Linked DNA regions of Nothobranchius furzeri. The protein of the gene in region 1 purifies or fractionates together with the protein of each later gene. This does not show direct contact. Links are inferred from orthologs where the notes say so. Each region holds a gene or a part of one and is shown on either strand. Other genes may lie near its edges.

Region 1 (4,145 bases):
TGTAAAAAATAAACTCTAAATAAACTATGTTCACATCCAGAATCTAACCCGGGTCTTCTGCATGAGAGTCAGACATCTTACAAGGTGAGCTACACTCTAGTAACATTCACAGTATCTATAACTTTTATATCCTTGATGACAGCTGAAACGTTCAAAGAACGGTTCGAAGCGAAAATGGCTATTTTGTTGCTAATTTGCAGGAAATATCTAGAAGAAAGTTCTACAGAAAGTAGCTAAGGGTCCTCAGAAATATAGCTAGGTTTGTTACTAGGCGTTAGGAAGTTGGCACTGCCTCTCTCTCTGCTGCTAAAGCTACGGATAGCAAATGCTACGGGCTATGCCTGAGCGTGAACGCGCATGAAGCAGCCTGCTCGACCCGAGCATCTCTCTTTTTCTGTGATTTTACAGAAAAACAGGCAATCACAGTAAAAATGCCAGGGCTCATTCTACAGGACCAGGGCATTGCAGGAGAATGTATGAAGAAGACATTTATTATTTCTATACATGTTTTGGCTGTCACACTTCCGTACAGTCCCTTTAATTTAAAACAATAAAAATTTAAACATTTTAAATTATCTCTAAATGACCAGATGGTTGCTTGTTGCTCTGATGAAACACAGAAGATCTCTGATAACGTTAAACACAAAGCCTCAGAAAGCAGGTTTAACGTTCTGACCTTATTTATAAACACAAACAAACCATCACTGCATCAGCCACATAATGAAGATAAAACATGACCTCCTCTCCTCAGGTCTCACCTCGGATGATGCTGAAGAGCTCTTCGATCCTCATGTTGACGTAGATCCTGCAGAAGAACTGATGCATGTGGCATCTCCACTGCTTCATGATGGAGCTGGCAGGCTGGGTGCCCTGGATGCTGGACTGAATGGGACCACTGGGAGCAGCAGGAACAGGAGTGGCTCCGTCCACCTCACTGGCGAACACTTTGCTCAGCCAGCCAAGAACCAGCTCCAGCCACTGCAGGGACAGAAGAGCGTCAGAACATGAAGACAGGAGAGGAAACGGTGGAAAAGGGGTTTTACCTCCTGGAAGTCCAGCAAGAAGGAGCGCTCGTACTCGCCCCGGCAATGCTGCTCCATCCGCTGCTCGATGAGCTTGTGGAGGATGCAGGTGATGGCCTCTGAGCTGACCCACTCCAGCAGCTGTAGCTTCAGTCTACAAACACAAACAGCTGATCAAACATTCATCCGGACGAAGCAACAGCAGAAACAATCAGCAGTGAGATCCTCTCACAGTATGTGGCTGAGCTCCTGCAGCTGCTCCAGGGCCTCCTGACACCAGCACCTCAGGACCGGGACCCCACACCCTGGGCAGGACCCTCCACTGGGGCTGTCTGGAGCCTCGGCCACATCCTCATCGCTGCCCTCCAGTTTCATGTAGACGGAGAAAGTCCTGCTGTAAAACTCCAGCACTCGCTCCTGCAGAATGGGGGGAGGAGAGAACAGCAGGAGGGCTCTGATGGTGGTGAAGGCTCGCTCCTGGAGGCCACTGGGACCTGGACCACACAGACCACCACGACCCTCATCCTGCCACGCCCCAAGCTTCTCCAAACCACCTGCATGGAGGGAGATGGGAAACTAATTACCTGTTCCTCTTTGGTTTTATCCACAAAATAATATAGTGAAAGTCTGGAAAGCAAAAAAAATCCAAACAACTTTAGAAGTTGGAATAAAATCTTAAAGATTCAAGGACAAGGTCATCACTACTGTATTTGTTCTACTTGCTCAGAAAAGGTTCCAGGCGGTCCAACAGAGTCCTAAAAGCAGTGAGGAGAACCCATGCTCGATCTTTTTCCTCCAGCTCGTTCTCCGGCTGTTTCAGGCAAGACCAGAACTCTGGAACCACCGAGGACGACAGGCGCATCTGCAAAGTTTCCAGCAGCCAGATCCCGAGCAGTCGGCCCAAACCATGACTGCAGAGCAGAAGCAAGGAGTCAGAGAGGCTCTGGTCAGACACCGGGCATCCAGAAGACACCTAGAGAAGGACCCAAACAGAATGGTGGTATGAAATCCACCACAGAATCATCTCCAACCAGAAAAGGGCTGCTGGATGTCTGGTATTCAGGGGCAGGTGGTTAATGTAGGAATGGATGAGAGATGGAATCAGAACTGAGTAAAAGAGCAAAATCATTTCCAACATAAAATACACATTTTATTATAATATAGGTGTTTAATATAAGCCTTTTTCGACATGTCATTTGTGTTTGTTTTTAACTAAATGGCTGACTCAAACTTATGAATATTGAGTTGTTAGTAGTCAACCCATTTTTCTTTGCATGGAGTAAAGTTGTCAGTAAACACGATGACGTCAACAAATGTAAGCCGAAATCCACCGAATACTCCTGCTGACTATTTATAACGCCAGTTTTGTGTCTAGCCCTTAATAAACCAATGTAAAATCCAAAACATCATTCAATCGTGTGATTTACGAATGGAGTCTTGTGACAGCACTTCATTCAGTGTTTGGTTGCTCGTGTCCGAGGCTCTGACCCACTCACCAAAGCTGCAGTCACGGATTCCCACGCCTCAGCGAGCCCCTGGAGCGCTCCGGGCTCAGACATTTCCACCGAATCCGATTCCATCATCATTTCCTCCATTTTATGACACTTTCTTCACAAATGCCGAACCGGCTCCTGTAGATTCAGCATTTAAACCTCAGCATGTCTTGTCTTACCGCGGCGCTATGTGTAAAAAGCATGCCCCGTGTCTCAACCGTGTTTCAACGAGTTTACTAAATAATAACTTTTCCATTCAAGCAAATAGTAATTTACAATACAGATATGAACATGGTATGGCGGGTTGACTTCTTCTACTTTTTTTTATCACTTACATGCTACAGGGGTGGACACTGCCCCCTGCAGGTACCGTCCGTAAAAAGTATTTGTTGAGTTTGAATCGGTTTTAATGTTTACTCGCCCCCTCTAGCGGTTAGAATAATCACTACAGCCGGCCACAGACACAAGTTGACAGAACTGAACTACAAAATAAAACATTTCAAAATTGCTTATACAAACTCCACCAGGTGTCAGTAAAGGCCAAATGTTATGAAACTGTACTTATTTTTGTATAAAATTTAAATAAAATCTTTCGAAACGGATGTTAATATCAATAAATATTTCGACATATCTTAGAGAGTAATATAGATGCTTAATGTCTGTGAAGGTTCTCAGTCATCCAGGTCATTGTAGTCTAAGGAGCTTTGAAAGAAAAGCGTCTGGACTTCTTTGAGTTGCTTGAAGACAAAGCTCCTTAGACCATAGATGCTTAATGCACACAAATACAGCTATAAATAATAAATAAATAAATAAACATTTTTAAAAACTGGATCATGACATGTCTTTTAAACGCCGTCGTGTCTCTTATTTTGACAGGTTGTGTGAAAACCGTATCCGCCTTAGCAGCAGCTAGCAGCAGAGACATCATCATGGCAACCGAGTACGAGTGAGTTTGTTGATATGGCAAAAATTCCTTCAAAATATTCATGACACGCTTTGAATTTTACCCGCACGCTCCCGCACATTAAGGTTTGCTGTTCTCGGTACAATCGGATGAAATGTCGTAGGTGTTGTAGCTAGCTGAAGGGGAAGCTAACAGGTTACGTCAAAAGGGCCAGGCTAAAAACAGTAAATAAGCCGAAAACCGTTTTTGTTTACAGTGTTCAGTCTGAGATCGAGGTTCTGCAGTCCATCTATCTGGACGAGCTGAAGGTGGACAGAAGGGACGAGGGGTAAATCTGCTCATTTCAGAACATCTTTGTGTTATAAATCACTGGTTGGGTTATATGTGAGCAAATAATGATATGAAGACGTTAAATATTTGCAACAAAGGGATAAGAATGTCTCCCAAATCTATTTGATGGGAAAAAACTCAGCTGATTATGTTATATATATGTATATATATTTTTTAACTCTTACCATGGGTTTAATTTAATGACAGTCAACCAGAATTAAATGCATCTGTATAAAAAATTATTAGCAATCAAAACAAACATAATAGTATCTATTTTTCCAGGAAATGACTGAGTGATGAATTGGAAAGTGCAGCCAGTGTATTCATTAAACTGAGTAGACAATAGTGGTTCTCATTTGGTCCTAAGCAGAAATGTCTAGAAACATATTTTAATTT
Region 2 (4,151 bases), on another chromosome or scaffold:
AGGAAAAGCTGCAAATCATCCAATTTTTATTTATCCATTTAAATCATTTAAATGAAGTCAAATATAAATTCAGAGGGTGTAATGTAAACTGGGACAGTCATGCACCCTGCTCCGGTCAAGGGCCGTATTCAAAGAATTATCTTGGTACATCCCTCCTCTGCTTTGTTCCTTAGTAAATCTGTGAGACTTTGGGTGGTAGGAGTGAGGTGAGCTTTCAGGGGTCGGAGGGAAACTGCCATAGGCACTTGAAGTCGTCCTGTACAGGATCCTTCCAATGTTTGGGTTTGTTGCTGATTTCATGCTTCTAGTTGCCGAGGTGGTAATGGAAGAGACTGCTGGGTTTCCAGGGCTAGTGCATAGTTCTGTGATTTCTGTCTGCTGCTCTTGTGACAGGGACATCACTGGAGTGTCTGCAAAGTAAAAGAAAAGTTTACAACACTCAACCCCTACAGGACCAATCCTGCTGAAGTCAACTTCAGTAGTTACATATATATATATATATATATATATATATATATATATATATATATATATATATATATATATATATATATATATATATATATATATATATATATTTGTGTGTGTGTGTGTGTGTGTGTTTGCTTAGAAAAAGTACAAAATTATTATTAATATATAAAATTAATATTAAAATTATATTGTTAAATTATAAACAGCTTGCATTATTATTAGCTTTTTAAAATTTTGGCTATGTGAGTGCTTTTTGCAAACAGTATTATTTAGTGACATTTAAAATCTGAGGACAAATAAACCACATCTTTAATACCGCACACGCGCGCACACACACACACACACACACACACACACACACACACACACACACACACACACACACACACACACACACACACGCACGCACACACACACACACACGCACGCACCCACAGACAAATACGTTTAGCTAACATTTCCTGTTTTGAAGTAGTCGGCTAGGGATTTTTACAGGATTATTGGATACATACATAACTAGATGCGTCTGAGGCTTACTAGGGCCTCCGCTGTTTGCGTACATTGTTATACTAATTACCTTAAAATACACAAATACCGCAAAAATGTCCGCGCTGTTTTGATCAGGCCTCGCCAGTCGCCAGCTCTTCCGTGGGTCAAGAAAAACGATGCGTCTGGTTTCCATGGAAACCACTTAGACGAAGGAAACGGAATCGTTCATCTTTTTTAGTTTTGATTGCTTTTTACTTTTATAACAGAGTGGTTTATTGATAAACAACAACATTGAATAAATCAGACTGAATTAAATTGCTGGTCAAAATATAGAACTTTGTTGGCTTTGTAAAAAAATTCAGAAACTCTCCACTGCACCTGAAGGTATCGTTGTGTCGTCATCATCAAGCGTCGACGCCTACGTCTAAATTAAGCGTCTGTTTACTGTGAGCTAAGCGTAGCGTCTCCTCTAAGTGTATATTCTATCGAAATTATTTACCGCTGCTCTCTTCTTTTATTTCGATGAACTTCAGCTTTCCCTGCGAGGTTGAGTGGGTTTTTGTTGAGAGCTGTTTCAGCTGCTGAACCTGAAATGGACAGTGAAATTCAACGAGACGGGAGAGTCCTGGATCTGACTGATGATGCCTGGAGAGAAGACAAACTACCGTATGAGGATGTCACCATCCCCTTGGTAAAAACGTTAAACGTGTTTGCATTAAAATACAGTGTGGTTAAACAAATGGTAACGTATCCCTCAAATGACCATTCCGAAGTTCAAAATAAATCATTTGTGAATTATAAAAAAGAGCAAGTCACCCCCAAATCAATTTCTTTTTGCTGATAAAATACATAAATAAGTGTCTAATCAAGCTGTAGACACATGTAGTCAATAATTTGGCATTTTAGAGCATCTTAGTTAAAATTTAAATATTCTGCCCAGAACTGTCAGTGTTACACCCTCTTCAGGTAATTTTAAATCTGCTATCGCTATTGGCTAAGAGGTACCCTATGATGTCAGCTGGCACCATATGATGTCACAATAGGCATGTTTCCATTACCAGAACTCCAGGGTAGTTCCTGGGATGGGGAACTTGACCAGGAGATAGGATGTCCCAGTCCTCTCAGCTGTTGTGTCTCCATTCAGATTCAGCCCTTTCAGAACTTGCACAGACGTCAGCGGGTCACGACTGCTTTGGCAGTGAGTGATGTCACTGATCAGCCCAGAAAAGTGCCCAATGTGTCATTAATAATATCCATCCATCTTCTGAACCCGCTTTGTCCACGTAGGGTCGCGGGGGGGCTGGTGCCTATCTCCAGCGGTCAACGGGCAATTAGGCGGGGTACACCCTGGACAGAGAGCCAGTCCATCGCAGGGCAACACAGAGACACACAGGACAAAAAATCATGCACACACACACACATACACACCTAAGGACAACTTGGACAGACCAATCAACCTAACAGTCATGTTTTTGGACTGTGGGAGGAATCCGGAGAGAACCCACGCATGCACAGGGAGAACATGCAAACTCCATGCAGAAAGATCCCAGGCCGGGAAGCGAACCCAGGACCTTCTTGCTGCAAGGCAACAGCTCTAACCACTGCACAGCCCTCATTAATAATATTTAAAGCATTTATTTTATAGAAGTATATCATAATTTAATCCATTCAGAGGACAAGAGCAGCTCTGAGTTTTGTGAGACAAGCCCCTGGAGTTATCCCCCAGGCTTTCAAACAGGCAGTGGTCCAACCAGTTTTGAAGAAAGCTGGTTTGGACTCCACCTCCCTGGAAGCTTCCATTTTTATCTAAGCTTCTTGAGAAAGATGTTTTTACACAGCTCTCTGACCATTTGCAGACTTTTAACCTTTTAGACCCTTTGCAATCCGGGTTCCGTCCCGGTCATAGTACTGAGACTGCCCTTCTTAGTTTTTAATGATGTTCTGTGGTCCACTGATTCCGGCTCCCATGTTCTACTGGTGTTTCTGGATCTCACAGCTGCTTTTGACACCGTAGACCATGCTATACTTCTGTCCCGACTGAACCAGGTAGTGGGCATCCAGGGAACTGCCCTAAACTGGTTCAGATCGTACCTCAGCAACAGAAGTTTTTGTGTGAGGCTGGGGGATTTTGCCTCTGAAACCTCCTCTCTTCCCTCTGGTGTTTTTATGTTTCATTAAAACCTCAAGAGTCAGTGCAGCTGGCTGTGGATTGCCTGAATGAGGTGAATGGCTGGCTTTATAATAACCTTTTACATCTGAACGAGTCTAAGTTGGAAGCTCTCTTGTTTGTTCCTCCCTCTCCCACTTCAGTTAGTCCTGTCCTACCACCCTGTTTTCGCAGCTTAGTGAAGCCAACCATCACTAACCTGGGGATGGTTTTTGACCCGGAGCTGCAGATGGACTCCCACATTAGCCAGGTGGTTAGATCCTACTTTTTCCAGCTTCATCGGCTATCAAAGATGGAAGTCCATCCTGACTAGACACGACCTGCACACAGTGATCCATGCATTTGTGGTCTCTCGCTTGGATTATGCAAATTCCCCTTTTTATGGATCCACGTCTTCCTCGGTTGTGCGCCTACAGCTGGTGTGGAATATGGCGGCCTGCCCTTTGACGGACACCAGAAGGAGGGAGCACATTACTCCTGTTCTGACCCAGCTGCACTGGCTCCCAGTTTAAAATTTTACTTCTTGTTTTTAAGTCACTATCTTTATGTGCCTCTCTACTTGACTCAGCTGGTTCAGCCCAGTTCAACTCCGGTTGTAGCTAGATTGCTACCTTCGTTAGCTTAGCTCCCACCTCCGCGTTGGCTTTGGGTTAGCTTCAGGTTAGCTTGTAGCTACATTAGCTTCAGTTTGACCGGGTGTCGTCAGTTGATCCCAGCCTTACAGCCCCACCCTCAGCTCCGCCTCTCTTCCCTTTTGTGGAATTGTCTGGGCTTGACGGAACCTGTGACACGGTCAAAATGGCGGTGGTGGCCACCTCCCATTTTGGCACAAAAACTTTTAATTGGAGCCTATGGAAACTCATTGTCCATATATATATATATATATATATATATATATATATATATATATATATATATATATATATATATATATATATATATCGATGGTTCAGCCTTACGTACCTGGTCGAATTCTTCAATCAGCAGACCACCGCCTGTTACAGGTCCCGAGTGTTTGGGTGAA

The links.
Region 2: the proteins of anapc2 (region 1) and anapc13 purify together in Homo sapiens (affinity purification with mass spectrometry; 3 studies listed by BioGRID and IntAct, counting the BioPlex papers as one, with this or other methods). This does not show direct contact. The link is inferred for Nothobranchius furzeri from reciprocal best matches to the Homo sapiens genes ANAPC2 and ANAPC13.

What each region holds. Positions count from the first base shown.
Region 1 is NC_091745.1:17,481,300-17,485,444, reverse strand, and holds the start of anapc2 (anaphase-promoting complex subunit 2), read right to left. Parts: upstream 2,801-4,145; 5' UTR 2,618-2,800; coding exon 2,519-2,617; intron 1,996-2,518; coding exon 1,746-1,995; intron 1,577-1,745; coding exon 1,255-1,576; intron 1,177-1,254; coding exon 1,044-1,176; intron 979-1,043; coding exon 759-978; intron 1-758. Other genes in the region: E3 ubiquitin-protein ligase RNF25, read left to right, coding at 3,349-3,461, 3,676-3,747. UniProt on the Homo sapiens protein: Together with the RING-H2 protein ANAPC11, constitutes the catalytic component of the anaphase promoting complex/cyclosome (APC/C), a cell cycle-regulated E3 ubiquitin ligase that controls progression through mitosis and the G1 phase of the cell cycle.
Region 2 is NC_091744.1:86,652,769-86,656,919, forward strand, and holds the start of anapc13 (anaphase-promoting complex subunit 13), read left to right. Parts: upstream 1-1,351; 5' UTR 1,352-1,552; coding exon 1,553-1,651; intron 1,652-4,151. Other genes in the region: pierce1 (piercer of microtubule wall 2 protein), read right to left, coding at 70-399. UniProt on the Homo sapiens protein: Component of the anaphase promoting complex/cyclosome (APC/C), a cell cycle-regulated E3 ubiquitin ligase that controls progression through mitosis and the G1 phase of the cell cycle.